4 linked regions of the Bombyx mori genome follow. The protein of the gene in region 4 purifies or fractionates together with the protein of the main gene of each other region. This does not show direct contact. Links are inferred from orthologs where the notes say so. Each region holds a gene or a part of one and is shown on either strand. Other genes may lie near its edges. The genes, in order: probable ATP-dependent RNA helicase DDX27, ribosome biogenesis protein WDR12 homolog, nucleolar complex protein 3 homolog and pescadillo homolog.

What was found.
Region 1: the proteins of pescadillo homolog (region 4) and probable ATP-dependent RNA helicase DDX27 purify together in Homo sapiens (affinity purification with mass spectrometry; 4 studies listed by BioGRID and IntAct, counting the BioPlex papers as one, with this or other methods). This does not show direct contact. The link is inferred for Bombyx mori from reciprocal best matches to the Homo sapiens genes PES1 and DDX27.
Region 2: the proteins of pescadillo homolog (region 4) and ribosome biogenesis protein WDR12 homolog purify together in Homo sapiens (co-immunoprecipitation; 7 studies listed by BioGRID and IntAct, counting the BioPlex papers as one, with this or other methods). This does not show direct contact. The link is inferred for Bombyx mori from reciprocal best matches to the Homo sapiens genes PES1 and WDR12.
Region 3: the proteins of pescadillo homolog (region 4) and nucleolar complex protein 3 homolog purify together in Homo sapiens (affinity purification with mass spectrometry; 3 studies listed by BioGRID and IntAct, counting the BioPlex papers as one, with this or other methods). This does not show direct contact. The link is inferred for Bombyx mori from reciprocal best matches to the Homo sapiens genes PES1 and NOC3L.

What each region holds. Positions count from the first base shown.
Region 1 is NC_085126.1:9,620,709-9,627,972, reverse strand, and holds part of probable ATP-dependent RNA helicase DDX27, read left to right. Parts: intron 1-60; coding exon 61-202; intron 203-789; coding exon 790-890; intron 891-1,153; coding exon 1,154-1,346; intron 1,347-3,552; coding exon 3,553-3,704; intron 3,705-4,236; coding exon 4,237-4,320; intron 4,321-6,484; coding exon 6,485-6,612; intron 6,613-7,264. UniProt on the Homo sapiens protein: Probable ATP-dependent RNA helicase. Component of the nucleolar ribosomal RNA (rRNA) processing machinery that regulates 3' end formation of ribosomal 47S rRNA.
Region 2 is NC_085114.1:8,372,598-8,380,426, forward strand, and holds the start of ribosome biogenesis protein WDR12 homolog, read left to right. Parts: upstream 1-3,060; 5' UTR 3,061-3,353; coding exon 3,354-3,412; intron 3,413-3,484; coding exon 3,485-3,784; intron 3,785-3,895; coding exon 3,896-4,036; intron 4,037-5,254; coding exon 5,255-5,430; intron 5,431-5,759; coding exon 5,760-5,824; intron 5,825-6,721; coding exon 6,722-6,866; intron 6,867-7,125; coding exon 7,126-7,227; intron 7,228-7,829. Other genes in the region: WD repeat-containing protein 75, read right to left, coding at 1-277, 918-1,125, 1,375-1,478.
Region 3 is NC_085113.1:12,523,431-12,530,694, reverse strand, and holds part of nucleolar complex protein 3 homolog, read right to left. Parts: intron 6,751-7,264; coding exon 6,630-6,750; intron 6,455-6,629; coding exon 6,241-6,454; intron 4,837-6,240; coding exon 4,648-4,836; intron 3,610-4,647; coding exon 3,428-3,609; intron 2,408-3,427; coding exon 2,202-2,407; intron 1,403-2,201; coding exon 1,224-1,402; intron 1-1,223. UniProt on the Homo sapiens protein: May be required for adipogenesis.
Region 4 is NC_085116.1:5,443,401-5,451,137, reverse strand, and holds pescadillo homolog, read left to right. Parts: upstream 1-2,892; 5' UTR 2,893-3,095; coding exon 3,096-3,119; intron 3,120-3,197; coding exon 3,198-3,431; intron 3,432-3,521; coding exon 3,522-3,893; intron 3,894-4,518; coding exon 4,519-5,242; intron 5,243-5,620; coding exon 5,621-5,826; intron 5,827-6,115; coding exon 6,116-6,391; 3' UTR 6,392-6,426; downstream 6,427-7,737. UniProt on the Homo sapiens protein: Component of the PeBoW complex, which is required for maturation of 28S and 5.8S ribosomal RNAs and formation of the 60S ribosome.

The sequences.
Region 1 (7,264 bases), on a different chromosome or scaffold from region 4:
TTGAAAATTACATTATAACGTAAAAAAAAGAATGAAAATTAAATTAAAACCTATTTCCAGAACACTTGGGATGACTTACACAAGTATGTACGTCGTAATGTAAAAAGGACATTGGATGAGAAGATTGAGAAACGTAGAGCGCATGTCAAAGTCCATGGAAATGCTGACTCTGTTGAGACTGATTCAGATGTCGAAGATAAAGGTTTGAAGACACAACTTATCGTATTTCGCTAAAGAGATATAGATCATAAGTAAGTAAGTCGTCGTGGCCTAAAGGATAAGACGTCCGGTGCATTCGTTGTTGCGATGCATTGGTGTTCGAATCCCGCAGGTAATTTTTCTAATGAAATACGTACTTAACAAATGTTCACGATTGACTTCCACGGTGAAGGAATAACATCGTGTAATCAAAATCAAACCCGCAAAGTTATAATTTGCGTAATTACTGGTGGTAGGACCTCTTGTGAGTCCGCACGGGTAGGTACCACCGTCCCGCCTATTTCTGCTGTGAAGTAGTAATACGTTTCGGTTTGAAGGGTGGGGCAGTCGTTGTAACTATACTTAAGACCTTAGAAATTATATCTCAAGGTGGGTGGCGCATTTACGTTGTAGATGTCTATGGGCTCCAGTAACCACTTAACACCAGGTGGGCTGTGAGTTCGTCCACCCATCTAAGGAATGAAAAAAAAAAAGAGATGTCCTTCTTCTGATGAGGTTATACCTTGGAATTTAAAAGATGTAACATAATTAACAATAGATTTTAAACCAAAGATATTAAACCTTTTACAGATGGAGAAATCGATGAATTGGAAATATCCGATGATGAACTGAAGAAAGATCATATAAAAATTAAAGAAAAAAAAATTAGTAAAAAAAAGAAATTGGAACAGGTAATGAAAAAAGCATTTTAATGGTCTCTATCTGTTTGTACAATCAAACAAAATAAAAATTACTTGCTCCGCCTCTCTTAAATCAAGATGATTAATTGTTAAAAAAAATGTAGACAGGTCCATAGTTGATATCAATCAGGGAAGAGTTAGGGATCCTGTTTCATAAAAACCCCAAATTCAGCAGATGACCAATTAACATAGCCATGACTGAATCTCCTTAAATTAATTTATTCAGTGTTTTGTATCAAAAACATATGTTCTAGGAACTAAAAGAAGGTGAAGAAGGAACAAAAATTGAATATGACTCGGATTTCTTCGAGGAGCCACCTCCTTATGATGAAAACGCTTCGTTTTACAACATGAATCTATCCAGACCTCTCATGAAGGCTATTGGCTCTCTGAACTTTGTACACCCAACGCCCATACAAGCCGCAACCATTCCTATTGCACTTTTAGGTAAGGCTCGCACCTCACACACTTAGTAGGGATGGTTGCTTATCATTACTGCAGATATTTTTACTAGTGGTAGGACCTCTTGGAGGCCGCACGGGTAGGTACCACCACCCCGCCTATTTCCGCCGTGAAGCAGTAATGCCTTTCAGTTCGAAGAGTGGGGTAGCCGTTGTAACTATACTGAGACCTTAGAACTTATATCTCGAGATGGGTGACTCATTTACGTTGTAGATGTCTATGGGCTCCGGTAACCACTTAACATCAGATGGGCTGTGAGCTCGTCCATCCATTTAAGCAATAAAAAAAGATGTTCCCTGCTGGACACAGGACTCCATGAAGCAATGTAGGTTTACGACAAAGGAAAGATCTTCCACCGAGCGGGTGATGTTGCTCGGTAGACCGACGGTCCGAATGTTGTTGTTCGGAACTTGTATATATGCGCTTTATTTTGAAAATGTCGTAAGCGAGATTCAGGCATCTGTCAATTATCTTGCGTTGTAAGACCGCTACAAGCAATAACATTTTTATTAATTTATTACGTAGATGTGCTGTGGATTGTCCACCATATGTTACGTTGTCACCGGAGCCTCTGTAGACGTCACAAAATAAATGCAGTTATACTTGATAATGAGGTTACAGTCTCCGCTGTATTATGTAATACCAGTTCCTCTCTTCAAACCGGAATAGAAACTTTCAATGCGAAAATGCATTTGTAAAGTAAAATTGAAATTTTGAGCTTATTGAGGTGAAAACTTCTTTAGTGTTGTTGTAATTTGAAAAACTTGCTGAAATATTTCTTCTTTCAATTCTAAAATAACGATCTAAAATTAAAAAAATTGCTTCTTTAACTAAAAAATTCATCTTATATACTTAGTCTGGCCATAAATACTGTTACAAAGGAAAAAATATTTATTACTTTTACAGTGTGTTAGTTTAATACATAAATATAAAACAATTTAAAGTATAAAAAGCTTATTCGAAGTGGTCTCCATTGGCTGCAATACAGTCCTTTAAACGTTGAGGCCAGTTATCAATAGAAGCACGCACTCTTTTCATGGGAAAATTTTATCACTGCCAATCGTACGGATTGTTTTAGGGACTCCAAACTATCATGGCGTTTAGAGCAAGCCGTACTCTCTAAAACTGACCATAAATTATAATCCAGCGGATTAAGATCGGGACTAGACGACGGCCAGTCTTCAGCTCTGATGAAGTCCGAAACGTTCGTTTCCAACTAAGACTGCGTAGACCGAGCTTTATCACCTGGCGCGGAGTCTTGCTGGAAGGACCATTCTTGATTATTGAACATGGTGTTGTTAAGGGGCTTCACTACCTTCTCAAGAATGGTATCTTGATACACTTGTGCCGATGTCTTGATACCTTTTTCACAAAAGTATGGCTCAGTCACTCCTTCATAGCTAATACCCCACCAAACCATCACTGAAGTCGGATAGTGCCCACGTTGCACTCTGTCGACTAATTGGGAAGCTTCCTTAGAGCTTTGAGCATAAATACGGTCATTTTGTTTGTTAAAATGTTGCTCCGTTGTAAAAAATTTCTTATCCGTAAACAAATTTTTTCTATGACCTCCCTTTGCGTACCGCTTCATTAGTTGTTTCGATTTTACCACCCTATTCTCTTTTAAATTATCAGTACGTCTCTTATAGGCTGCAAGTCCTAAGTCATCTTTTAAAATACGCGACATGGTTCTAGGTGCTATCTTCATCTCCCGAGATAAAATCTTTTGCTTTCGGACAGGATTTCTTCGAATTCTTTCTCCTACTGCTTTGACCACCTTTTTCGTACGAACACTACGTGGACGGCCAGATCTTTTTCTGTCACAAACAGAGGAGGTCTCATTGCACCTATTAATAGCCCGGTACACAAACATTTTACTAATACCAAGCGTATGGAGAGTTTTAAAAATTGCACTTGGCTCCATACCTACTTTGTGTAATGCAATCACAGCGATTCGGTTCTCTTTATCACTCCACTCCATTTTAATATCGCAAAATATTATACAATGTATTGGCGCCAAAATGAGAAAACTCAATGAGCAATCATATAAAAATGACAGATTCCAAATTGAAATGTAATATTTTGTTTATTTTTAATTGTAACAGTATTTATGGCCAGACTAAGTATAGTGTACATTATAATATAGTACAGTGTAATATAGTGTACATTAATTATATGACATATGATATAGGTAAGGACGTATGCGCATGCGCCGCCACTGGCACTGGTAAGACGGCTGCATACATGCTGCCCATACTGGAGCGTCTCCTGTACAAGGCGAAAGGAGGGGACCGGATCACCAGGGTCCTGGTACTTGTGCCAACTAGAGAACTTGGTGCTCAGGTCAGGATATTTTTTATTCAAATTAATTTTAAAAAATTGAGAAATTACGTCATATAACGTAATCAAAAATCAGCTGATGGGCTGGGTCAACGAACTCGCGGGTGCGCATTTGGTCTTTGCATGTTATTGTTTTTTTTTGTTCCTATTCTAGTAACCTCGAGGGGTTATTCTAGATTCACCGAACTAGTAGGTGAGTTCACGGGGCTCAAACCGGAGTGTGTTGCTAAAACTGGCCCTAGCAAGAGCAGTGTTTCGCAGAATTTACCACCGGATCTGAAACGCGACCCACTGAGAAGATCCGGCGAGAAACTCAATGGGCTGTGTCTGTGGGTTAACGGGTTCGACGAGGATTGCGCGTTCATTGCGTGTCATATAGTAAATAAATTGTATTTTTCATTTATCTATTTTTCTAAGTAATTAAATTTACATTCAAATAATATTTATTAGTGGTCTGATATAGTAAGAATACTAGAAAAAACTTTCAGAATGCTTTTTTGGTGATGTTGCTTGTTAAAACAGAACTTGGTTACAGGTCCATGCAGTCACAAGACAACTGGCTCAGTTCTCATCGGTGTCTGTGGGTCTGTCTGTGGGAGGATTAGATGTTAAATATCAGGTGGGAATACCATACCATTCTTTAGTGTTATGTCTTGTGGTCTGCGCGGGATGGTACACCGTTCCTGTCTATGTGTACACCATAAAATATTTTAAAGTGTTTTTTAGACTTTTTTTTTATTGCTTACGTGGGTAGACGAGCTCACAGCCCACCTGGTGCTAAGTGCTTACTGGAGCCCATAGACATCTACAACGTAAATACCGCCACCCACCTTGAGATATGAGTTCTAAGGTCTCAGTATAGTTACAACGGCTGCACCATCTTTCAAGCCGAAACGCATTACTGCTTCACGGCAGAAATGGGTAGGGCGGTGATACCTATTCGCGCGGACTCACAAGACGTCCTACCACCAGTAATTACGCAAATTATAATTTTGATCGTTTTTTTTTTATTACACGATGTTACTCCTTCACCTTGGAAGTCAATCGTGAACATTTGTTAAGTATGTATTTCATTAGAAAAATTGGTACCCGCCTGAGATTCGAACACCGGTGCATCGCTCGACACGAATGCACCGGACCTCTTATCCTTTAGGCCACGACGACTTCAAAATGTTCTCATCTATACTAATATTATAAAGAGGAAAGATTTGTTTGTTTGTTTGTATCGAATAGGCTCCGAAACTACTGAACCGGTTTGAAAAATTCTTTCACTGTTTGGAAGCTACACTATTCCCGAGTGACATGGGCAATAATCTTTTTTGAACAAAATTAGGGATCCTTACTAAAACTCCAATAATGTAACCCAAAGTGTAAAAAAATTACCTTAAATATTCTTTACATCGCGTGCTCTGCGAAAAGTATTGATGATAGAATATAATAATGTACTACGACTTTGTAGAACATATTATTATTTACAAAAAGTGTCGCGACAGTATATTATATCTAACTATTATAGCTATGCCGCACTAAGTGTTCTTTTATTTAAAAAAATAAAACAACGTCAAATATCGTTGCAATTTTTGTTAAAGACCCGAGCGAAGCCGGAGCGGGCCGCTTGTGTTTAGTATTAGGCAAATTAAGATCCGATCTATCTTAAAACTAGAGTACACATGCAGTGGCCTTAAATTGGATTATTTTTCCAACCCTCAGACACAGCCCACTGGGTTTCTCGCCGGATATTCTCAGTGGGTCGCGTTTCCGATCCGGTGGTAGATTCCGCGAAGCACGGCTCTTGCTAGGGTCAGTGTTAGCAACGTCGTCAGGTTTGAGCCCTGTGAGCTCACCTACTAGTTAAGGTTACGCTGAAACAGCCTCTCAAGGCTCTCAGCTTAAGTAGGAAAAAATAGGATTATTTTCGTGTTACATATGAGTCGACTATTATCAAAGTCGGCAATGTGACTTTTGGACAATTATTGGTAAATCAGAAAAACGAATTATTGACTTTGTATTCCATTGGCAGTCACAAAACTCTTCTGAACGACATCTTAGATAAATAACAGGTTAAGTATTAACCTTTATTTAATACAGGTTTTGAACCGTATTATTTGAAGGAGACGATTATATTCAAATTTTTTTTTTTTTTTTTTTATTGCTTAGATGGGTGGACGAGCTCACAGCCCACCTGGTGTTAAGTAGTTACTGGAGCCCATAGACATATACAACGTAAATGCGCCACCCACCTTGAGATATAAGTTCTAAGGTCTCAGTATAGTTACAACGGCTACCCCACCCTTCGAACCGAAACGCATTACTGCTTCACGGCGGAAATAGGCGGGGTGGTGGTACCTACCCGTGCGGACTCCCAAGAGGTCCTACCACCAGTGATTACGCAAATTATAATTCTGCGCTTTTGATTTTTATTACACGATGTTATTCCTTCACCGTGGAAGTCAATCGTGAACATTTGTTGAGTACGTATTTCATTAGAAAAATTGGTACCCGCCTGCGGGATTCGAACACCGGTGCATCGCTACACACGAATGCACCGGATGTCTTATCCTTTAGGCCACGACGACTCCAAATCAAATCAATCTGTATTGACATATCAATAACATTTTTTTGTCCAAATGCACAGATTGCCACCTTTGATAATAGACGACTCATATTCCGAAAATGTATACGCTCGGGAATCGAGCCCGGAGTAATCGATGCAATCAGTTTCTAACAACTTGAAGGCTGCGTATTGTTAGACGTGCCATTAAAACCACATCAATGGACGACAGGAAAGCGTGCTGCGTCAGAACCCCGACATAGTGATAGCGACGCCGGGTCGGCTCATCGATCACATACGGAACACACCCTCGTTCGGGCTCCACAGCATCGAGGTTCTGGTGCTGGACGAAGCTGACAGGTACGGAGACAAGAATTAATAGTAATGTGTTAATTTTTTTTATTGCTTACATGGGTGGACGAGCTCACAGCTCACTTGGTGTTAAGTGGTTACTGGAACCCATAGACATCCACAACGTAAATGCGCCACCCACCTTGAGATATAAGTTCTAAGGTCTCAAGTATAGTTACAACGGCTGCCCCGCCCTTCAAACCGAAATGCATTACTGCTCTCTTCTTCTTCGACATCTCTTTCTTTTGTCGTATCACTCTTGTCAGAGCGGTCGTGGTCGTCATTCAGTATCATTGTTGTGGCCAGTGTGCTTAGTGCGAGTTCTTTAACGTTCTCGATAGCGTAAAAGTTAACACAATTTTGTATACAGTTGGAACAGCGCCCCTAGCGGCAAATGTAGGCAAACGTTTCGACTCCATACAAATATGAGTTAACTTTTACGCTCTGATTAAGCTAACTCGCACTAAGAACACAGATGTCATGCGTCTCACGAGCAATCGCCACTTCTCCCGGTTTGTGGTGAGCCTGGTAGACTCGTGTAAACAGCCGCCAACTGCCGACTTGACTTGGTCGGTCTATCGCATGGGCAACCTTCCAACCAACCACCAAATCCTCCATGGGCAAACTTGATCGGTCCATCGCATGGGCAACCTTCCAACCA
Region 2 (7,829 bases), on a different chromosome or scaffold from region 4:
TATTCTGATTGTAAATGCTTTGAATGTACAATGATTTTGTTCCATTACAGATTGCAGCAAATCTGTCATCGTTGTTCCAACCGAGAGCAACCTTTATCAAAGGTTGAGTATTCCATATCCGAGTTCCGTATTCACAAAGTAATTCACCAGTTTTTATTGAATATGATGCATAATGTATGTTTTTTGAGTATGAACCACCAGCTCCAGTTATAAAACATTCATTTTCATTTATTAAATCAAATGTCAGTACTATTAAATTTGCAGGTATTTGAAGATGCTGAAAGTTAAATTTATAATAAAAATATAAACTTAAATGTTTATGAAAAACTTGTTTATTCTTTAGCACTTATATTAATTGTTATTAATTTATAAACAAGTTATCTGAGATGAGGAATGTCTGATCCCATCATGCATTTTTTTCGCATAGATGTATGGGCAAGCTCACAGCCACCTGGTGTTAAGTAGTTACTGAAGCTTATTGACATTAACAATATAAATGCCTCCACCCACCTACACACTACCTAGAACTATGGCATCTTGCCATGGACCGACCAGCTTTAGAATGTACTTCTCTCCACAGTATTTCTTAAGCATGGCTTTCTTTAAATGGTTTCTCCTTCTTATTCTTCATGGTTTGCGGTGAGTACTCAATGGTAGGTTGCTCAGCTTGACTATGCCCCTGGCATTGCAGATGTCCATGAGTGATGGTAGCCATTGACAACTAGGCGGAGCATATGCAGATTCCTTTAAGTACAGGCTTACATTTTCTAAGCCATCAGTAAATTCCAGCTGGTGATTACCAATCACTAATTACCTTTTACAATACTAATGGAAAGAGTTGGAGTAGTCATATTCTAGACTGACGCTGCACAGAAAACTTATTTTTATTTTACCAGAGCTGTAACAATTCTACTTACAGTATCTCTGAGAACTGCTCCTTTGTCCCACGTCCATATTGTGACCAGTCCAGATTTAGAGCAACCATATAAATTGTAATCTTCATTTTGGGGAAATTCTATTCCAACAAACCCATCAATGGGAGTTTCAGATTCTAAGGTCCTGACTAGTTCGCATGTTTGTACATTGTATACATGCACTATATCTTCTACTATTACTGCCACTGATCTATAACATAAATAAGCCGCCAATTTAATGCTTTTTCTTTAGAACGCGCAGCTTTGATCTATGCAGATTAAAACATACTGTTCTCATAGGTTAAAAAAATTATACTTATATTTTAGAGCATTCTAAATTGTAATAACATAATTGTTTGAATATTATGGACAATTCATTTAATCTATTCATTAATATTAAGATTTTGAATTCTCTGTTAACATTTTAACATCGTGGATATAAATGTGTTGTTTTACTTACTCGCCGTCCGGAGAAAATATTGGGCGTCTTTCTATAATACTTCTACCCGCTTTTCTTTTAAGGCAATATTTTAGCTTATTGGCTGTATCTACTTTAACGACCATTTTGTGAAATATTTATATTAAATTCATTTCAATGCAATGTAAACAAATAGAACATCTATCTTTGATGGAGCCTGACATAACCTCAATCCTTTTTTTTTTAACAAAGAGAATTATTGTGGCAAAAGAATAATTATTGGGAAAATTTAACTCCTTTAAAATTAAGGTAAATAGCTAGTCTACTACTACTTTTGTTGTGGTTACCACTACATCTATTGTAGGAAGTAATTTTGAAGAACTTGTCAAAATTGGGCATTCGTTATTCGTTACCTGAGAATTTATTTAAGAGAGTGTACTACAAAGTGTACCTATATCAAGCTCAAAACTTATGAGTGTTCTGTGTTTGACCCATGATTCAGCTGTTAATTTAATGTTTCTTCAGGTTGAAATGAGTAATGACGAAGGTTTATAAGCTATTAAGAATCTGTGAAAGTGCATAAATGTAGGAAAACGAAACAGAGCCGTTGGATGTAGCCTTTCGGAATCTTCCAACAAGTCCACTGAAAAAGTTTCTGTAAATAACCAACATTTTAATGAGATTATATTTTATTCCACATTAACTTGCTTCATTTAATTTTATCTCAGTTGATTAATATAGACATGTGTAAGTAATGCGAGTGATATTACTCCGGTAATATTACTCTACGATGTAATGCAACATCACACATTACGCGAAGGAAACAAACATCACACTATCACTCAATATGTTTCTTTCTTTGTCGTGTAATGTTGCTTAATACACGAACGGAACCGAGCGAGCGAGACAGACCGATCGACCAAAATAAATGAGCAAGCGACATGGAATTATTCCTAGTGATTTTGAACCGTATGCCCTGGCCGCTAGGTACATTTTTATACCTATGGTACGTCTGAATTTTAATATAGGTATTTGTGTTTATATTTTTCATGCGGCCAGCCAGTAGTTCCCCGCAAGTAGTTACTTAATTTTTAATTCGCAACTTTTGTAAAATCGCTAGTCGCTCGTAATTGTTTAGTAATATTTCATATTAATTTCTGTGTTTGAATTACTTAAGCACTTGTATGAAGATAGTTTTATTATTTGTTTTAATGCGTGTTTAATAAGTGAAAGAAAGAACGGCGTCTAAATGAAAGTACAGTCCTCCTTGGATGCACTTTGAGGATATCGCGCCGAAACAATGCATCTACTGCTCTCGTATATTAACATTATTGTCGAGCTCAATTTGCAGTCTAAGTCGCCATATGAAATCCGTTCATCCCACAATAAATTATATTAAGTAAAAAATAAAATTATTATATTATTAAGTAAGTCAATCTCTGTCAAGTAATATAACAGTGTATTACAATACAAAGTTCATACTTTGTATTGTAATACACTACTGTAATGACACACCCGAATCATTACTTAAGTGATGTGTTCATACACATCACTTAAGTAATGATTCGGGTGTATAGATACAATGTACTCGTCGTCACAGTATCTATTGAACGCACCGAGTAATGTTAAGAGTGATGTGTAATGTTTTCGAGTAATATCACCTGTCCGTAAAAGTGATGTCATATCACATTACATTGGCAAGTGATGTTTTGCGCAAGTCTAGATTAATATCTCAAATTAATCAACTTCACTTCATTTCACTCCATATCATTTTTCATGAAAGAGAATAAAATATACAACATACAAAAGATTAGGATGTAACGTTAAAAATTTAGGATACCTTCGCCTTTTTACTTGGAAAAGTGGAACTACTACTGTCAGATGTCAGGTTTGGTGAAAACTGAAAACTGTCAATGAGAATCCGGCGTGTTATTAGTTTAGATTCAGGTCATTTCAGGTTGTGTAGTCTTCATTTATATCAATACCAAACTTTAACACAACTTAAAATATTGTAGTACAAAATGTCTGGCGATGCTTTAGAAGCTCAATTGCAAGTTAGATTTATAACTAAACAAGAACAGTAAGTTTTGCACTTGTTTTGACATGTGGTCCAATAAAGTACTTCGCTCTAAGCCGCCTATATTTTATGCAGATATGCAGTTCCGGATAGTCCTTACGCTATCCAGTGTAACGTACACCCTGCGGACCTTAATACCTTAATCAACGCAATTTTGAAGGAGACCTCACCATCGTTCGAGAAGGCGGTAATATTTGATTTCTTAGTATGTGGAGAGTTACTTTGTGCCTCCCTCGCAGAGCACTTACAAGAAAAAGGGGTATCGACAGAGGACACGCTTGAGGTCGAATACTTGGAAAGGTTCCCTGCACCAACTCCACAGGACTGTTTAATGCACGATGATTGGGTGTCAGCTGTTCAGGCACACAGTAGTTGGTAAGATGAAAACAAATTTAGATAAAATCAAATTATTTATTTATATAAATAAAAGTTAAATGTAAAATCTTACAAAATAATGTGTAAAATAACAAATCTCATTTCATCCAGGATTCTATCAGGAAGTTATGACAATAGCTTACATATATGGAGCACAAAAGGACAACACAAACTAGCCATACCAGGTCATACATCACCAGTAAAAGCAGTATCATGGGTGTCCTTCCAGGGTGATCAAGCTACATTTGTTAGGTGAGAAATTGAATAGATAGTAATTTGATAAAAATATTTGATATAAAAACATGTCACATTGACAAATTTAAGTTAAATTTAAATGTATCTCAGTATTATTTAGTTAGTATATTAAAAATGTATACTACAGATATAGCATAGCAGTTATGATCTGACAAAATTAAAATAGATAATTTATCATAAATAGAATGACAAAAATAATTAAATCCTGAAGATGTATACAGAAGGTTTTTTTTATTTTTGGAGTTTACTCCTTAAGAATCGATTTACATATATAGGCCCGGGGTATGAAAATTATGGGGACCAAAATCGTACTAGAGAGTATAGCATGTCACACGAAATGCGTTATGCGCCTGATTGGCTGATGGTGATGCGTGCGCGCGCCAATCAGGAGCCAACGCGCGGCCGCGTTATCGCAGGTGACGCCGGGCTGCTGCGCCGGCAGTCCGCCACAAAGCCTCGTACTGATCGCGCGTTTCTCTCATTATTGTATTTTCATATATTTGTTAGTCGTTTGTTTTGTGTCTCGTTAATTTGTTAATAATCTGTAGTGTATCGTGTTGTCGTAATATAGAACTATTTCTCGTATTGTTTCGTTTAATTTACCGACATCGTTTTGCTTGTGGCCGGACGCCGTTCGGGTTCGATTCCTGAACGTATCAACTGTTAGTGGGTTGATACCCGAATATAACCCGCTACAAATCATTTATTAATAAAGCTTATTAAATATAAACAATTCCTTCTATCAGTGAATGGACAACTTATATATTAATTGTAAAAGTGAATTATATAGACTTACTTAATTACCGCATCCACGTGTTCCGCAACTCCCGGATCATTCTCACTAGAATACGTAACTTCCATATTTTACTGTATTCAACTGACACAAATTTATATTTATATCCAGTAAACTCCAGTCGTGCGTCGGAGCGGACACACACACTTTTTTTTATTGCTTAGATGGGTGGACCAGCTCACAGCCCACCTGATTTTAAGTGGTTACTGGAGCCCATAGACGTCTACAATGTAAATGCGCCACCCACCTTGAGCTATAAGTTCTAAGGTCTCAAGTATAGTTACAACGGCTGCCCCACCCTTCAAACCGAAACTCATTACTGCTTCACGGCAGAAATAGGTAGAGTGGTGGTGCCTACCCGTGAGGACTCACAAGAGGTCCAACCACCAGTAAAAATGATATGTAGGTATGTATGATTTCAGTGGATCTCATGATCAAACAGCAATACTCTGGGTATGGAATGTACCTAGAAATTCTGTTGACTGTATGATCACTTACCGTGGCCACGACAAGGGAATTGAATGCCTGTCTGTGTCGGCTGATGGTAACCGTTTTGCAAGTGGGAGCTGGGATAACAATGTTTGTCTTTGGAGTGCAAGTGAGTAGATACTTAATAATAATTTAAGTGAAAGGACTTTTGGAAGGCATTGCTGACGTCCATGAGCGATGGTGACCACTTACCATCAGGTGGGCCGTATGCTCGTCTGCCTACAAAAGCAATAAAAAAATATATTGAATCGATTTAAACCCTAGTTGCAATGTTTGTACAGCTATATTATAGGTCTCCTTTGAGATGACAAGTGGAAAAACAGCTATGTGGTCCTCGAGAATAAATCAAATGTGTATTATATTGGTTTAGTTGTTATTTTTAAATTAGTTTTTTTGAATGTACATAATAAATAAAATATGCATATTTACCCAATTTAGGCTTAGCAGAAGAAGAAAACCATCCAGCTACGAAGAAAAGTAAACCAGAACACGGCACCACTAGAGTGAGTATGAATTGAATGAAGCAGTCCTATAACACCTATACTTGTGTATAATAGATATTATAGGACTGATTTTTTCAATTGACTATAGTAGAATTATTTTGTCCGTGCAGTTTGGGTCATAAAACATAGCCTGGCTAGGGCGGCGAGCATGTTGCGCGGGAGCAACGCCATTATCGATAAAAACAAATGAGTCATCGAAGGCAGGTACACGGAGGTGGGGTGGTTTACGAAGGGTGGTGAGACATTATGTTATGAGTCATTTGTTGTACCTACCTGCAAATTATAGTACATATGTCGAAAATAAATGTGATTTTTTGCATTCGCTCTCTGAATTTCTTTAGTGGCACAATGGCTACTCCTTTGTTTTGTACCAAAACGGCAGAATTTATTTAAATATTTTGCTTGTTGGCAAAAATATACCAGCACAAGCACGTGTTATATCAACAATGCATACAAAAAATTTCACTGTAATGAGAATAGATCCCGAAAAGATACAAAGTGTTAATTTCTGCCGTTCTCGTTAACTTGCTGCGGCGATATGTGGTGTAAGTGTTCGATTAATGATTTTTTCTTCATTTTTATCACTAACCCACAAAATGACAAAACTAAATACACTATCGATAACACTTATCGACAACACTTATCGACAACAATAATGCGCATCACTACGCCCGCCCATAAGGCTCGTGAGTGGAAGAGAGAGCGAAATACTCGCTGCACCGCTCCGATTTTTTATGACCCAAACTGCACGGACAAAATAATTCTACTATAGTTAAAAGTTGTGCAGATTTAAAAAAATTAAATTGGTAAAACAGTTTGATTTTTTTAAACAATGAAGTGAAATGTTGCTTGGATAATGAATGAATATGATTCCAATTTTACTTATTAAATTTATAGAATCCACTGACCACTTTAAAAGGACACAAGGAGGCTATCTCGGGTGTTCAATGGATGGATTACAACACAGTACTGTCCAGTGGTTGGGACCACTTATTGAAAATTTGGGACTGTGATTTGGGTGGTATTAAACAAGAAATTGCTGGTATGTTAAATTTGCCATGAAATTTTAAACCTGTATGAAAAACATTTCTGAAATTCATTAAATCTTTGCTTTAAATGATATAGAAATTAAAAACAGAAGACTTCTCACAAATGATTTAGATGTAGCAGGGTCAACAGATCTTCAAGCTAGTAGGCATAATATAATAAATTCTGGTGGTCATGGTCAAAGTGCAGTCTTGCAAATTCTGTGTCCTTTTCTCTAATTGGTATTCAAACAATATTTACATTTAACTTTCTAGGTAATAAGGCCTTTTTTGATGTTGATTGGTCACCTCTGAACAACAGCATTATTACTGCATCAGCAGATAGACATGTCCGGTTATATGACCCTAGATCTACAGGTAAGTTATGAATTATTATTTTCGGAATTTAATTTTAGCTAATAGTAAATTAAAGAATATTACTGGTTCTTATAGTATGTCTCTACTTGTGTACAAAATGTGTATATTTCTTCATATTGTCCTTGGATCTTCCATGTAATTACGGAAATATATATATTTTTAATGATCCAATGTTATTCTTCAGTCATATACTCTGCCTATGAAACCTCACACACAGGCTATGATTTTTTTCTTCTAAAAACTACAGTAATATGTTGAAGTGTGTATATTGATATATTATAGCATAGCATAGTATTAGCATATAACATAATTAATAGGTGTAATCTCGTATGTCCACCTAATAAGGTGGACCACCCAGAAACATAGGCTTCTTCATAATTGTAAACTAGGATTAAGATGATAATTAAACATGGAATACACGCAAGAAGACGCTTTCCTTTAACACCTCCCAAAGTACAACATAACAATGTCTAGACAGATCAAAATATTTAAAAAATGTTAAAAAGAAGCTGAAGTCAATGATATTGATTTGTGTTTAGTATGTATTTGTATAGAAAAATGGTATTTTGAACACCAGAACAGTCTCATTGTTCGATAGATCT
Region 3 (7,264 bases), on a different chromosome or scaffold from region 4:
TGTCGAGTGAGCAAGTCAACTTAGCACCGAAATCATACGATTTTACGTCACACCAGGTGATCCGTGTGCAAAGCCGGTCAAACCACGCCCCCTGCAACATGTCGCCGGCGCATCTTATTTGTCGAAGCGGTAAAGACACAAGATGGCGACGCTTTCATCTATTGTTCTTCAGGCGGAGGACATGTTGAAAGGGGCGGCAACTCCCGCAAATTATATTATTGACTATAGTAGAATTATTTTATCCGTGCAGTTTGGGTCATAAAAAATCGGAGCGGTGAAGCGATTATTTCGCTCTCTCTTCCACTCACGGCCCTTATGGACGGGCATAGTGATGCGCATTATTGTTGTCGATAAGCGTTATCGATAGTGTATTTAGTTTTGACATTTTGTGGATTAGTAATAAAAATGAAAGAAAAAATCACTAATCGAACACTTACACCACATATCGCCGTAGCAAATTCACGAGAACGGCAGAAATTAACACTGTAACTTGTCGGGATCTATTCTTATTTCAGTGAAAATGTTTAACACATTGTTGATAACAACACGTGCAAATATTATTTTGAATAAATTCTGCCGTTTTGGTACAAAACAAAGGAGTAGCCATTGTGTCACTAAAGAAATTCAGAGAACGAATGCATAAAAACACATTTCTCTTCGACATAATGTACTATAATTTGCAAATAAGTACAAATGACTCATAACATAACAATGTCTCACCACCCTTCGTATACCACCCGCCGCCGTGTACCTGCCTTCGATGACTCATTTGTTTTGTATATTGTATTGATAATGGCGTTGCGGCCGCGCAACATGCTCACCGCCCTAGCCGGGCTATGGTTTATGACCCAAACTACACGGACAAAATAATTCTACTAGTTTTAATTTTTACTATAAATACGATTGTGCCGTAATTGCGATAGTCCTCCTCCTCCTCGCTTCGTTTTCCTCATTACTGAGGGTCGTGACTCCCCCGCTGCATCAGTTTCTCCCGTACAGTTTCCCTTCATCTGCTGCGATCCTTAGCTTCATGAAGGGCATTGTGGAAGTTGATGTTTAGAGAAGATCGTATTTGGTCCGACCATCCTAGATTGTGACCCTCTTTACGAGCAATTTGTCCGAAGAATTCCAGCAGCCAATTCCAATTGTGATACAGACCATCTGGAATGTTTCACATCGACTAAAACCCTCGTAGCTTAAAATTAGATGAGCGGTAGACTCACGGTGGCCAGGCGGTGCAGCAGCGCCAGCGCGGCCAGGGCTCCGGCGGGCGGCAGCTGCAGCGCCAGGGTGCCCAGCCGCTTGCCCAGCGCCTGCAGCACGGCGCCCGGCACCAGCCGCGCGCGCCCGCACACCTGCGCCGCCGCCCCCAGCACCACGGGGGCGGAGTCCTGCGTGCCGCCTGCGGGGGGACACACACCTGAACACAGACTCCGCCACTCTAGTCCCAGCCTTAAAGGCTGAAGCTTAGGACGCAATGTACTATGCCAATAAATCGGTATAATATCTATATTAATGTATAAATCTACAGTGGTTTTTACGGATGGTCCGTTATAACTACTGAACCGTGCATCCGATTGACTTGAAACTTGGTATCCATGTAGAAAATACATGTAATGGATAGGCTAATATTTATATGAGTGTTGGACTCCCTAATAATAATGTTAATTTTAAATGCCCAGCGAAACAGGTGAGTACGGCTACTCATTAATATTATTAATACCTTCTGGAAGTCGACAATGACAAATGATGACGTCATATGTGATTAATTATCGAATGTGCAGTATACTGTTATACAGTGAGCTACCTCACTTACTTTAACCACGAATTACGTCAAACGTAACAAAATCAATAGTAAATAAATAAATAAATATTAACTAACAATCACGCCACGTTAACTGGTCTCGTGATAAATTCGTAAAGAACTTGTGTTACAGGTACCAGATAACGGAGATCAATGTAAGATTTTTATTATACATATACACATAATTAATATACATACGTCCTTAACTCTGGAAAAGACATTTTTTTTTATCATACAAATATCTTCCATTGGCGGGATTCGAATCCGTGACCCCCTTGTGTAGTGACCATGTCACCAGACGACTGTTTATCGAGTTCAGCAAAATTTAAGAAACTTGCCGTAAATTTGAAGAATAATGAGTTCTCAGTATTGAGACACATAAGGGGGGTGACGTCACCTGCGTGCGCGTACAGCATGTTGGCGTAGAGGTAGGCGTGGAAGCGCGCCGGGTCCAGCGCCAGCGCGTCGCCCGCCGCCGCCAGCACGCCCAGCCCGCAGCGCGCCGCCCGCAGCCCCGCGCCCCGGGGGGACTCCGCCCCCAGCAGCGCGCACAACACGCGCACCAGGTCCGAGTACAGCTCCAGGTTGATCACGTGCCCGAACCTGACAAACCACACGCCGGAAGTCTCAACAACAGATACTTTAGAATTGATAAATAATGGTTTAAAAAAACTACAAAAAATACACTTTTCTAGAAAATCCCACTAAAAATAGAAAATAAATTTTAATAAATAAATAAATTAATAAATTTAAATTAAAAATAGTGTAAGAAAAAAATATTTTATTGTAAAAAAAAGCATGGGGTGCTTTTCAGGATATTATAAAAATATCTATATTTATTGATACCATAAAAGCATATTTTTTTTTTTTTTTTAAAGATTTTTTTTTCATTTTATAGTCGAAACCGAAACTGAATTCGAATTGAAAAAAATGAATTTTTCAATTTTTCAATAATTTCATCTGATTTATTGTCGATAACTTATCCGAGAAATAGGTGATCGGCGCGCCTGGTAGTTTCCCTTCTTGATCTTGACGCAGACACTCGGGGTCTCAGGAAAACAAAAAATCGCTAATCCTGATTATCCTAGTAAAGATAACGGATCAAATTGTTTAAAATATTGAATTGTCATCGATCCTTCATAAGTATGCCAAATTTCGTGTTATCCAACGTTCTGAAGGGGGTCAAAATCATGTTCAAAGATTCCGTTACATACTAACATACGTATGAAACTAATAAAAGCGTGTTAACAAATATTGGATATCGTTTATTTCAACAATCTCGAGTAACCAAAGATTATTATCTATCTATATCTATATATATAAAAATAAATTTCTGTTCGTTAGTCTCGCAAAACTCGAGAACGGCTGGGCCGATTTGGCTAATTTTGGTCTTGAATTATTTGTGGAAGTCCAGAGAAGGTTTAAAAGGTAGATAAATATGATATTTTTTTTTCTTGGATTGCCCCCCGTCGGACGGATTCCTTTTGTTTGTTTTAAGTTTATTTTATACAAAAGTTTAGGTCTTTCATTTATCGATTGAGGCACTACGAAGTCTGCCGGGCCAGCTAGTTTTGGAATAAATAATTAAAAACTATATTAGATGCGTATGTATGTAGACAGTACTTGGAGATGCCGTCGAGCGCGGCCACGAGGAGCTTGGAGGAGGGCGCACTCTTCAGCAGTCGGAAGTAGATGTGGAAGACCGTCTTCACGACCTCCGTCAGTTGCCGCTTCCGCGCCGCCTCGTCCTCCTGGGCCTGAGTCTCCAGCAGCTCCTTCTCCACCTCCTTTAGCTTTTTGGCTCGCTGCGGGACAGAAGAGGGTGATGTCACAAAAACGAACATCATCACTACATAGTACAGCGGTCGGGGAGTTTTTTTAATTATTACCCCAAAATATAAAAAAAAAAAAAACGAAATCGCTTCTTTTTAGTGTCTTTCGTATTATAGACCCCATGATAATTTTGATAACAATAAATTTAACGATTCTAAAGAAGTTTCAATTTAATATATGCTTTTTACCCCCAAAATTTCATTTTACTCCATTTGGGGTAATTTACCCCGGTTCCCCGACCGCTGACGTAGTATAAAACAAAGTCGCTTTCTCTGTCCCTATGTATGCTTAAATTTTTAAAACTACGCAACGGATTTTGATGCGGTTTCTTAAATAGATAAGGTGATTGAAGAGGTAGGTTTATATGTATAATAACCTCCATTAAATAGTGGAGAAATCAATAATAAATTACGGTTTCCGAAGCGAAGCGAGGGCGGGTCGCTAGTTTCACTATATATTAAACTAGCTTTTCCCCGCGACTTGGTCCGCGTGGAATAGTTACTTAACGCTAAATTTTACCGGCGACTTCATTTACGTAGAAAGTAAAAATATTTTTGAATAACACATTTGAATTGAAACATCCTTTATTGGTGCTCTTATCTTAGCGTGATGTTATATAGCCTATAGCCTTCCTCAATAAATGGCCTATCTAAAACTGAAAGAATTTTTCAAATCGGACCAGTAGCTCCTGAGATTAGCGCGTTCAAACAAACAAACTCTTCAGGTTTATAATATTAGTATCGACGCTTGAAAGGCAAACGTGACTAAGCGACAATAACTGCTTTATACATAAATGATAGGCAATAACCATATTCGAGGCGCAAAAAAAAATAATCTAGGTCTATTAGAATCATTTCAATCCTACAGATAGATTCGTTAAAATATAATTTTTCTCAGGTATTTCAACTTTTAATTAGTCTACTGTAAGGTTCACGCATTGTCGCTTAGTTACGTTTGCTTTTCAAGCGTCGTAGTATAGATTTCATGATCATTGAATCCGTCGCGGGCACCTTCTTCTCCTTCTTAGAAAGGTTAACGATCCTTTTCTTGTGTTTCTCGTCTTGTTTCTTCTTGAATTTGATGTCAGCTTCGGCGTCTATATCGACGTCCTTTATCTTCAACGAGAGGAGACAGTCCAGCGCTGAGGGGTGCAGCCGCTCGCCCCTCCTCTTCACCAGCTGGTTGATCAGCCTGACTATCTGAAACACGTGACGTCAGGGTTGATCTTGGCAGAGCGACGGTCTCGGTACTGATTTGAAAAGAAACTATTTTATTTCTAACTAGCTGACCCGCCAGTCTTCGTATTGCCTCAATCGATAAATAAAAGACCTAAACTTTTGCATAAAATAAACTTAAAACAAACCAAAAGGAATCCGTCCGACGGGGGTCGTCACATAAAAGGGAAACAAAATTGTTATTTTTATTTAATTCCGAGCATTTTCATATTTATCTACCTTTTAAACCTTCTCTGGACTTCCACAAATAATTCAAGACCAAATTTAGCCAAATCGGCCCAGCCGTACGCGAGTTTTAGCGAGACTAACGAACAGCAATTTATTTTTATATACAGGGTTACAGGTTAAGTCGACCTATTCCCGTTAAGAGCGTGTAGCTTACATCGTTTCTGACTGATTTGACTATGAAACACCCTACCCTAAATCTAACCGATCTGGAGATATTTCAATTTAATTGTTTTTTATAAAAAATACCCGATTTTCAGGTGTCAGCTTAGATATTTTGAAATGCGTAAGTCTTATTATTATTATTACATGATTTTTACTCGTAAAATAAGATGCTGTATGACATGAAATTTAGACCTTAGGATGTTTTTTTGGAACTTGAAAGTTTAATAAATGTAGTATCTTGTACATACTTGTTTTATTTAGCCTCCCCTGTAGCCTATAAAACTAAGTGTTTTCGACAAATTTTTGATAAAACTTTAGATTGCTATACCTTGTTGGATAGCTGACGAAACGTAGATATTGTTGAGCACATCTGCCAAACAGGCGCCATAATATTTTTTTAAGATATCCTTGAAAGAAAAATAATCTTTCTAATTTTTTATTCGTTTTTATAAGTTGTAATCGTCTAAAACGACTTGTTTATTCATTTTACGTACAATATTTGTTATTGGGGTCATACAGCATCTTATTTTACAAGTAAAAATCATGTAATAATAATATTAAGACTTACGCATTTCAAAATATCTAAGCTGATACCTGAAAATCGGGTATTTTTTATAAAAAACAATTAAATTGAAATATCTCCAGATCGGTTAGATTTAGGGTAGGGTGTTTCATAGTCAAATCAGTCAGAAACGATGTAAGCTACACGCTCTTAACGGGAATAGGTCGACTTAACCTGTAACCCTGTATATATAGATTTTTAAGGCAGAGTCATACATGTGCCCAAGATCCTTTGTGTGTAGCCGTGAAGATGTACAGCACAACATGAGGTAACGATTTGCACGAGTGACTGGCGCTGGCTACAACAGACTGTGGTCTTTTGAGTCAGAAAGAAACTGTTAGACGCCCTGGGGGTGCTGGGGGCGAGAGGTGTTGGGGGCGGGGGGTCGCGCCGGGGCATATCAACATCGGACTCACGACGAGGGTGATCTCTCCTTTGTTGTCGTGAGCGAACACGTTGGCGCAGCAGTCGGTGACGAGGCCGCGAGCCTGCGGGTCGGCGCAGTCCAGGAAAGGCACCAGGGTCTGCGCGATGTTGGAGGAGTAGTTGAACCCGGGCCGAGCGTCCAGCATCCCGCACAGGCAGCGCACCGACAGCACGCCTAGCTCCCGGGACCACGCCTCCGGTTTCCTGGGAATATTTTATCATTACGTTGCAGAATTAACTATACTGAGACCTCAGAACTTATATCTCAAGGCAGGTGGCGCATTTACGTTGCAGATGTCCATGGGCTCCAGTAACCACTTAACGCCAGGTGGGCTGTGAGCTCGTCCACCCATCTAAGCAATAAAAAAAAAGAACTAACCTCGTGTCCCCCTTCTTCCTCCTGAGCACCGCAGCCGCCTTCTCCAGTCTCTGCAGGTACCTCTTATACATCTCCAACAACTCTTTCTCGTATTTGTACAAAGCGAGAGTGTCTTTCTTTACTGCGCAACAAAAATATCATCAGTATTCCAGTACATCCACCAGCACATCTGTTCCCGACGCACTGCGGCAGTTCAAGGTCAGTTCATGATGTATATAGCACTCGTTTAACCAATTCCTTGGGAGTGTCAAAAAATCTGTACACGACCTTATTTCGAGGATTTTATTATAATAGGTTGGGTAGAAAAGTCTTTTCGCATTATAGTATGTATGAACTTGTAATAAAATCTCTTTGGCTATACTATTTGTATCTGGCTGGTTTTGGTATCATTAAAAGTTTAAATTTTTTAAGAAGACAAATTAGGAAGATGTGTGATTTTTATTTATTTTTCGTACGGTCAAGATGAATGAATCTAATGAAGAAATTAGATACATTTTAAAATTTTACTACAAAAAAGGTAAGAATGCAACACAAGCCGCGAAAAAAATTTGCGATGTTTATGGACCTAGTGCAGTGTCTGTGAGAGTAGCACAAATTTGGTTTAAGCGTTTTCAATCCAGAAATTTTGATGTCAA
Region 4 (7,737 bases):
AATAAATAAATAAATATTTATTATAATTATATCTCACTATTACACTTATGTTCTATATTATATTATTAAAGTATCTTTTAAAATAAATCATCTAATTGGCATGGCATCAACCGAAAAAGTTTACGGTAAGGTAGGCCGAATGTTTAATCGTTATTAGAAGTAAACTATTATAGCAAGTAATTTAAAATTAATATAAATAATTATTAACAATACGCATGATCTCCAAAAAAGTCAAGATGCGACTAATTAATAGCACAAAGGGGTTAAAGGTACCTTCATTTTTAGGATCACAAAATTGTCCAAACAAAATATGACATTTTAAATTAATCCCTTGAAATTCTTTGTAATTTCTGTAATTAGAATGATAAACTCAAATCATAGAATTGAATAGTATTCTGATGATTTTTTTTTATCGGGAAGAGATAAATGAAATGCAACATATAAAGCATGCAAAGCAAAAAATCATCTTTAAAATGAATTATCTCGTATGCTTGAAGAGATAGAACATGACGAACTGATAACAATCGAACGTTAACGTGCTTCGTGCTTAAATTAAGATTTTTTTTACCATCTAATTGATTTTAATATAAAATGATTACAAAACCCGTTCAGTTCAAATATATTGATACTATAAAAGGCAACGTTCAGAAAACCAAAATCATTAAATTATTCTAGCACAATGCTTAAAGTACTCAGTATATTAATAGTGATTTACTCGTGTGTTCAGGGTCACGTGACTCAACGAAACGACCCGAATCAACTCCATCCAGTACATGGACTCTATATCAAGCCTTCGGTCGACGGATCTACGGGAGACCTTTACGTTGCCGCGACAGAAGAAGATGGAGTCAAATCGCAATGGTTGACCGATGCATCCGTCAACTTCTTACCAGCCACAGCAGCTTCACAGAAACACGAAACTGCATTTCCGAGCCCCTTCGCTGCAAGCTATCCTCATGAAGAAACTGTGAACAAAAAAAAACAAGCTGGAGCCCCGGTCCAGTACGCATATGCGGTGCCAATGACAACAGCACCAAATGAAGGCACCTCACCTTATCCATACGCTCTACCGGTCAGTGCGTTTCCGTCACAAGCATCCGAAAGTTTAATTCCGTGTTTGGATCCTGCTAAAGCGAACATTCCCCAATATTCTCCGTTTCATTTTTTCTATCCCCAAATGATGTCTGCATATACAAAAGCAATGAGCATTTTAAAGGAGGCTGGTGTTAATGAAGATACTGCCAACTCTGTGATGCCAACACCGCCGATGTGGTCGCCTTATTCTTATCCTATGTACGTAATGATGGATCCTAGTACATGGACCAAAAGTCAAGGAACAACTCCTGCTCCTAATACTAAGAGCGAAAATAAATGATTTTGGATTTTAATATTATTTAGATAAATAAAAAAGGATTAATTTATAATATTATGATAATTATTAAATAAATGTAACTGGATTATATATTTTCTTATTAAATAAAAATTCTCAAGATGAACCTTAATTAAATTAGATCTTCAGTCGAAATGAACACGGGAGCAAAACCTTTGCTAAGTTACGATGATTTTTTTCTTCGATGAACGTTTTCTTTGTAATTATTTTGTATCTTAAGTTCCATGAGAAGTTATCTGAGGAATAGTTCCAGTTTTTTTTTTTTTTTATTGCTTAGATGAGTGGACGAGCTCACAGCCCACCTGGTGTTAAGTGGTTACTAGAGCCCATAGACATCTACAACGTAAATGCGTCATCCACCTTGAGATATAAGTTCTAAGGTCTCAGTATAGTTACAACGGCTGCCCCACCCTTCAAACCGAAACGCATTACTGCTTCACGGCTGAAATAGGCAGGGAGGTGGTATCTACCCGTGCGGACTCACCAGAGGTCCTACCACCAGTATTTACGCAAATTATAATTTTGCGGGTTTGATTTTTATTATCCGATCTTATTCCTTCATCGTGGAAGTCAATCGTGAACATTTGTTAAGTACGTATTTCATTAGAAAAATTGGTACTCACCTGCGGGATTCGAACACCGGTGCATATCGTTCAACACGAATGCACCAGAGGTCTTGTCCTTTAGGCCACGACGACTTCAAAATTCTGATGATGATTCCGCGAACCCCATTTAGCCACTGCAGTGCCCGCCACCGTAGCAAAACTCACACATATCACCGACCTGGCAACACTCAATTCAACATTTGTGATCTTTTTATCACAACACCATGCGGCTCTGGAATGAAATCCCTCCTACAGATGTGTCTAAGGTTTTGCAGCATATATCCTCCTTCATCAAACGAGACTCGAAAAGAGTTGTTTTGTAAACATTACAGAAGCTCGGCTAAGCCACTGGGATTATTCATATTTGTGAGCATCGGTGACGACTCGGTGATCTAATAGGCCGTGTGCTCATCTGTCTTCTAAGGTAATAAAAGGAACAAATTTGTGCACTTGCAGCAGCTTCACTGTGCCCCTGGCGTTGCCGACCTTCATGATATTTAAGCAGCTTGTAGTCTTTACATTCTTTGCGGAAATCTTTAATATTTATGGGATTGCGTAGTTTTATTTAAATAATATCTCAAACATATTTTTTCATACATGTAGTACCGAAATAGAATACGACCGAAACCGATCAGAAGATCCGGTGAGTAACTTAGCGAGTTGATGTTATGGGTTAGATTTCATGGGTTTCAATGGATTAGATTATCGGGGTCCCTATGCCTGTTCTTAGCGTTAGAGTTTCAGGCGTCTGGTAAAAATGTGAGTAGACCAGCTAGATCTTGAAGGATGTCCTCTCGTGTCAAGCGTCATCATCATAAATCACCTTCACCTCATTTCATCCTTATTATTTTCACTTATCAGAATGTTTAATGTTTAGACTGTATAATGTGATACTTTTGCCTTTTCTGTTGGAAAATGGAACTACTACTACTGTCAAAAATGTCAAAATGCTGTTTGGATTTTGATTTGATCTCCAAATCTCCATTAATCTTTCTAAAATGTGCGAACTTGTGAAATAATAATAGACGCACATTCAATATTTAATACAACCAAACAAAAAACCTTTACATATTACTTTCTGAACAAGGATAACAATCACAATGGTGTCCAAAAAGAAGAAGAAGGTGTGTACTTACCTATAAATCGAACACGTGTTTTATGTTGTCTTCAAAGATCCTAACCAACAAATATTTTATTTTTAGTATTCTTCCGGAGAAGGAGCTCAGTTTATGACCAGAAAAGCAGCGCTTAAGAAACTACAACTATCCTTGAAAGATTTCAGACGTATTTGTATTTTGAAAGGAATATACCCCCGAGAACCTAGAAACCGAAAGAGGGCTCAAAAAGGTGCAGGCGGAATCAAAACACTTTATCACACTAAAGATATAAAATTTTTACTACATGAGCCAATAATATGGAAACTGAGGGAACTAAAGGTAAAAAATATGCCAAAAGTAGCAATATAAGTAATACTTTAAGTTTATTTTCAAAATTTTGTTAAAACTTACAAAATGACTTAATTTTAGGTTTATCAACAAAAAATTCGTCGTGCAAGAGCACAGCGAGAATATGGCAAGATGAGAAAGTTTTTGCGGGACTATCCAGAAATAAACATTGATCACATAGTAAAGGAAAGATACCCCACGTTTGTTGACGCTTTGCGAGATTTGGACGATTGTCTCACATTGTGCTTCCTATTCAGTACTTTCCCATCATTGAAAAAAGTTCCAAGAGACCAATCATTCTTGTGCAGAAGACTGACAGTTGAATTCATGCATGCAGTAATTGCTGCTAAGGCTCTACGTAAAGTGTTTGTATCGGTTAAGGGATTCTATTATCAAGTTGAATTTGAAGGACAAACAATAACATGGATTGTTCCACATCATTTCTCATTCCAGGTACTTGAATGTTTATTATATAAGTTTTAACAAACATTAAAAGATGATCAAAAATATTAAATAGATACAAAAATGTACTAAAGAAAAACAAAAACATTAAAACTTGCCTCTACAACTGTTAAGTGGTCATATGGGGTCAGCACTTATATTCATGTTCTGGGTGGGACTAATCTAGATACTGAAAGCAAAAGCTGCTCGACATAATAATATACTTGGTTTCATTTATTAACTGTGATAGGGTGTCTTGTGAACCCACACTAAGGTACCACCATCTTGTCTATTTCTGCCACATAGCCATAATGCATTTTGATTAGGAAGGCAAGTTTGCTATTGTATAGTAAACCTGAGACTAAGAACTGTTGTCTCAAGGTGTATGGTTGCATTTATGTTGTTGAAATCTGTGGGCTCAATAGAAAAGAGTTAGTATGTTTGTTCTCTTTACATTCCTAAACCATTTATTTCATTCTGTAATCATTCACACTAGGGAAGATTTAGGTCATAGTGCTATCTAGATATATATATACCTTAGGTGGCATGCAGTATTTCCAAAACACTGATTTTTTTTCTAGAATTAGTGGAGTGTGACTGGTGTTCACTAGTATTTATAATTGGTTTTTTTTAACAGCCACAAAGCAAAGATGAAGTAGACTTCAAAATTATGGCGACATTTGTGGAATTTTACACTATGATGCTTGGTTTTGTGAATTTCAAGCTGTATCACTCACTGAATTTAGTTTATCCGCCTAAACTCCCTATTGGTTTCTCTTCTGAAAAAGACAAAGACCTTATTGACGAACAATCATATGTGTCAGAACGTATAGCTGCTATGAATATTTCACCTGCAAAAATTGAAGGATCAAATGAAGTTGAAGAGTTACCAGAAATTGACATATTTCCCACAGAAGATAATGATCCCCAAAAACTAGAAGAAGCCAAACTTGAGGCAGAAAAAATTAAAAAGCTAAAAACATTGTTCAAAGGGTTAAAGTTTTACATAAATAGAGAAGTACCCAGGGAACCCTTAGTATTCATAATTCGCTGCTTTGGTGGAGAGTGCTCATGGGATAAAGATCACTTTGTAGGTGCAACATTTGATGAGACAGATGAAACTATTGCCTACCAAATAGTAGACAGACCAAGTATGGATAAACAATACTTATCGCGATACTACATCCAGCCGCAATGGGTTTTTGACAGTGTTAATACAAGAACTTTGTTGCCAATCAATAAGTACTTGATTGGTGCTATTCTTCCGCCTCACTTGTCACCATTTGTTGACACTATAAAAGATCAAGTATACATACCACCAGAAGAAAGAGAGCTTAACGATCCAAACTTCAAACCACTCAGTAAGAATATTTCAAACAAATTTTATCTAATGAAATATGCTAATCTTTTTCAGTGTTGGTTTTATTACTCCAAATAGGTAGACACAAAATTTCAATATAATTATGACTGATCTCATATCTCATGGTGGGTGGGTGCTATTTACATTGTGATATTTTTTTCACTTTAAACCATGTGGGCTGAAAACTTATATGCCATTTTTATATTCAGTATTAATATATTCAGTCTTAAGTAATATTTTCATTTATATCAGCTGGCAATAAACATATCAATGGTTAATTAGAAAGCTTGCGCCATACATTGTTTGTGCATAATATAGAAGGTACAGCTCAATGATCTTAAAATTAACCATTGTCATTTAGTGATATTTATTCAAACAGATGCAGATTCTTCTGGAAGTGAAATAGAAGAAGCCAGTGATGAAGACAAGGAGGAGCAAAATGAGCCCGACTCTGAAGATAGTGATGCTGAAAGAGCTATTACTAAGCAATATCAGCAGGAGGTTGATGAAGATTCATCTCAAGATGAAGAAGAAAATGATGATGATGATTTGGACCCTGAGAAAAAGAAACTGGCTAAAGAGAAGGTAAAAAAAATCCCACTACATAATATGAATGACTATAATTTTACTATTGAAAATCAGAATTTTCTATGTTTTCTACCTTGATTTTATTCAGTTTGACCTAATTTTGATAATGTTCAGTTTTATTAATATGATTACAACTTTTTTATAAATAATAACGATAACTTAGAACCAATTTTTTCTTATTAATGATAAAAATCTTAGGTTTCATGTGAATAGAAAAATAAATCATTATAGGAGATATAATATAAGTTTGATAGTAAAGAATTTATATATGATGGGTTATTTTCAGAAAAAATCAATGAGGGTAACGACAGGTGTAACCCATAAAGAACATCCTTATCAAAAAGAAATAGAAGACAAACAGGCATTCCGGTTACGCGAGAAGCTAGTACGAAAGAAGCACCGCAATCTGTATAAAAGTATGAAAGCAGGTCAAGAAAAACGTAAGAAGGAAATATGGCTGCTTAGGAAAAAACGTCGCCTTCACGACGAGAAGATCAAAGATGAAAAGAAGGCAGAAAAACGGAAACAAAAAATGCAAGCACTAGAAGCTACTTCTATTTGAGATTTATTAATAAATACTATTTTCAACAACTAAAACTTATTTTAATTTTAAATATGTACAAAATTTTTGAGGCATAACAAAGAAAAATTTTGCTATTATGAAAACAATATAACAAAAATGTCACGAAAAATGATACTTATGAAATTAACACTTAAAATAATTAACTATAAAATAACAAGTAATTGTTAGGTTTCATACAAAACAGGTTAATAAAAAACCTACTCATTAAAACAAGTGTACAATTTCTTCATTAGAAACTGCAGTGATCCATTGGCTTCTTGTGCAATTTAAATACAGATTACGTTAAAATTTACTATCCTAAACAAGTATAACGGTGAAATGTCAATTAAGGAATTCATTTTATAATGATAAGCTAATCAGAATCATTTTCGCTGTCTTCTTCAGCATCACTGTCTTCAAGTTCCGGCATAGGAAATCGCAGGACTGCAGCTATACCCGTCAATTGATCTAGCTCTGTAAGAATATTTATATGATCATAATAATCGTGACAATACTGACATGACTATTTTCATTTTATTTAACAAATTTTCTTACGTTCCCCAGACACATGCATACTAGAGAATATTCTAACATCTCCACCATTTTCTCGGACAGAATCTACAAGAGCAACATACTCTTTCCGCTTCAATGTATCTTGACACCTAAAGAAGTGAAAAATATATGTTATTGAATATGCAATTTCGAAAAGGGCACATCTCTGGAAATGTAAAATGTTCAGGAAATGAAAAAAAAACTATTATTTTCTAAAGTAGTGTAAAATTTAAAATATTAACTTTTGAGATATATTTTAGTGTTAATTAGCAATTGAAAATTAGTGAAATTATTATAAAATGGGTGTAGGTAAGCTTCAAAACTACATCTATATGAAAAAACGTATTTGACAAAATATGCGACATGTGCCCTTTTTGAAATTGCATATTCAATTATTTTATTATTAAATTTCACAAATTCAACTACCTAAATCTATCTTAACCGACATAAGACAAGATCAGCTCACAAAAAATACAATTTCATTTAATGACTGGATTTATTAATTAATAATAACAATCACCTGAACAATTTATCTGAGATCATGAGTGTTTCAATTGCAAGGGCCTCATTAGCCCTCATTACATGTTTTTTTCCATAGAACGCTTTTGAGGGCTCTAACTGCAACATTGTGTAAAAACTTTCCAGTAATTTTACTTCACTTGCAGCCTTCGTATCTGATATTTTTGCCATTACTGCAGGTTCTTGTAAAACTTCTAAAAAATTAAATTATTATTTGCAATTTTATTGCTATTTTTCTAAGTTACTACCTGACTTCATAATATGTGCATGTATTC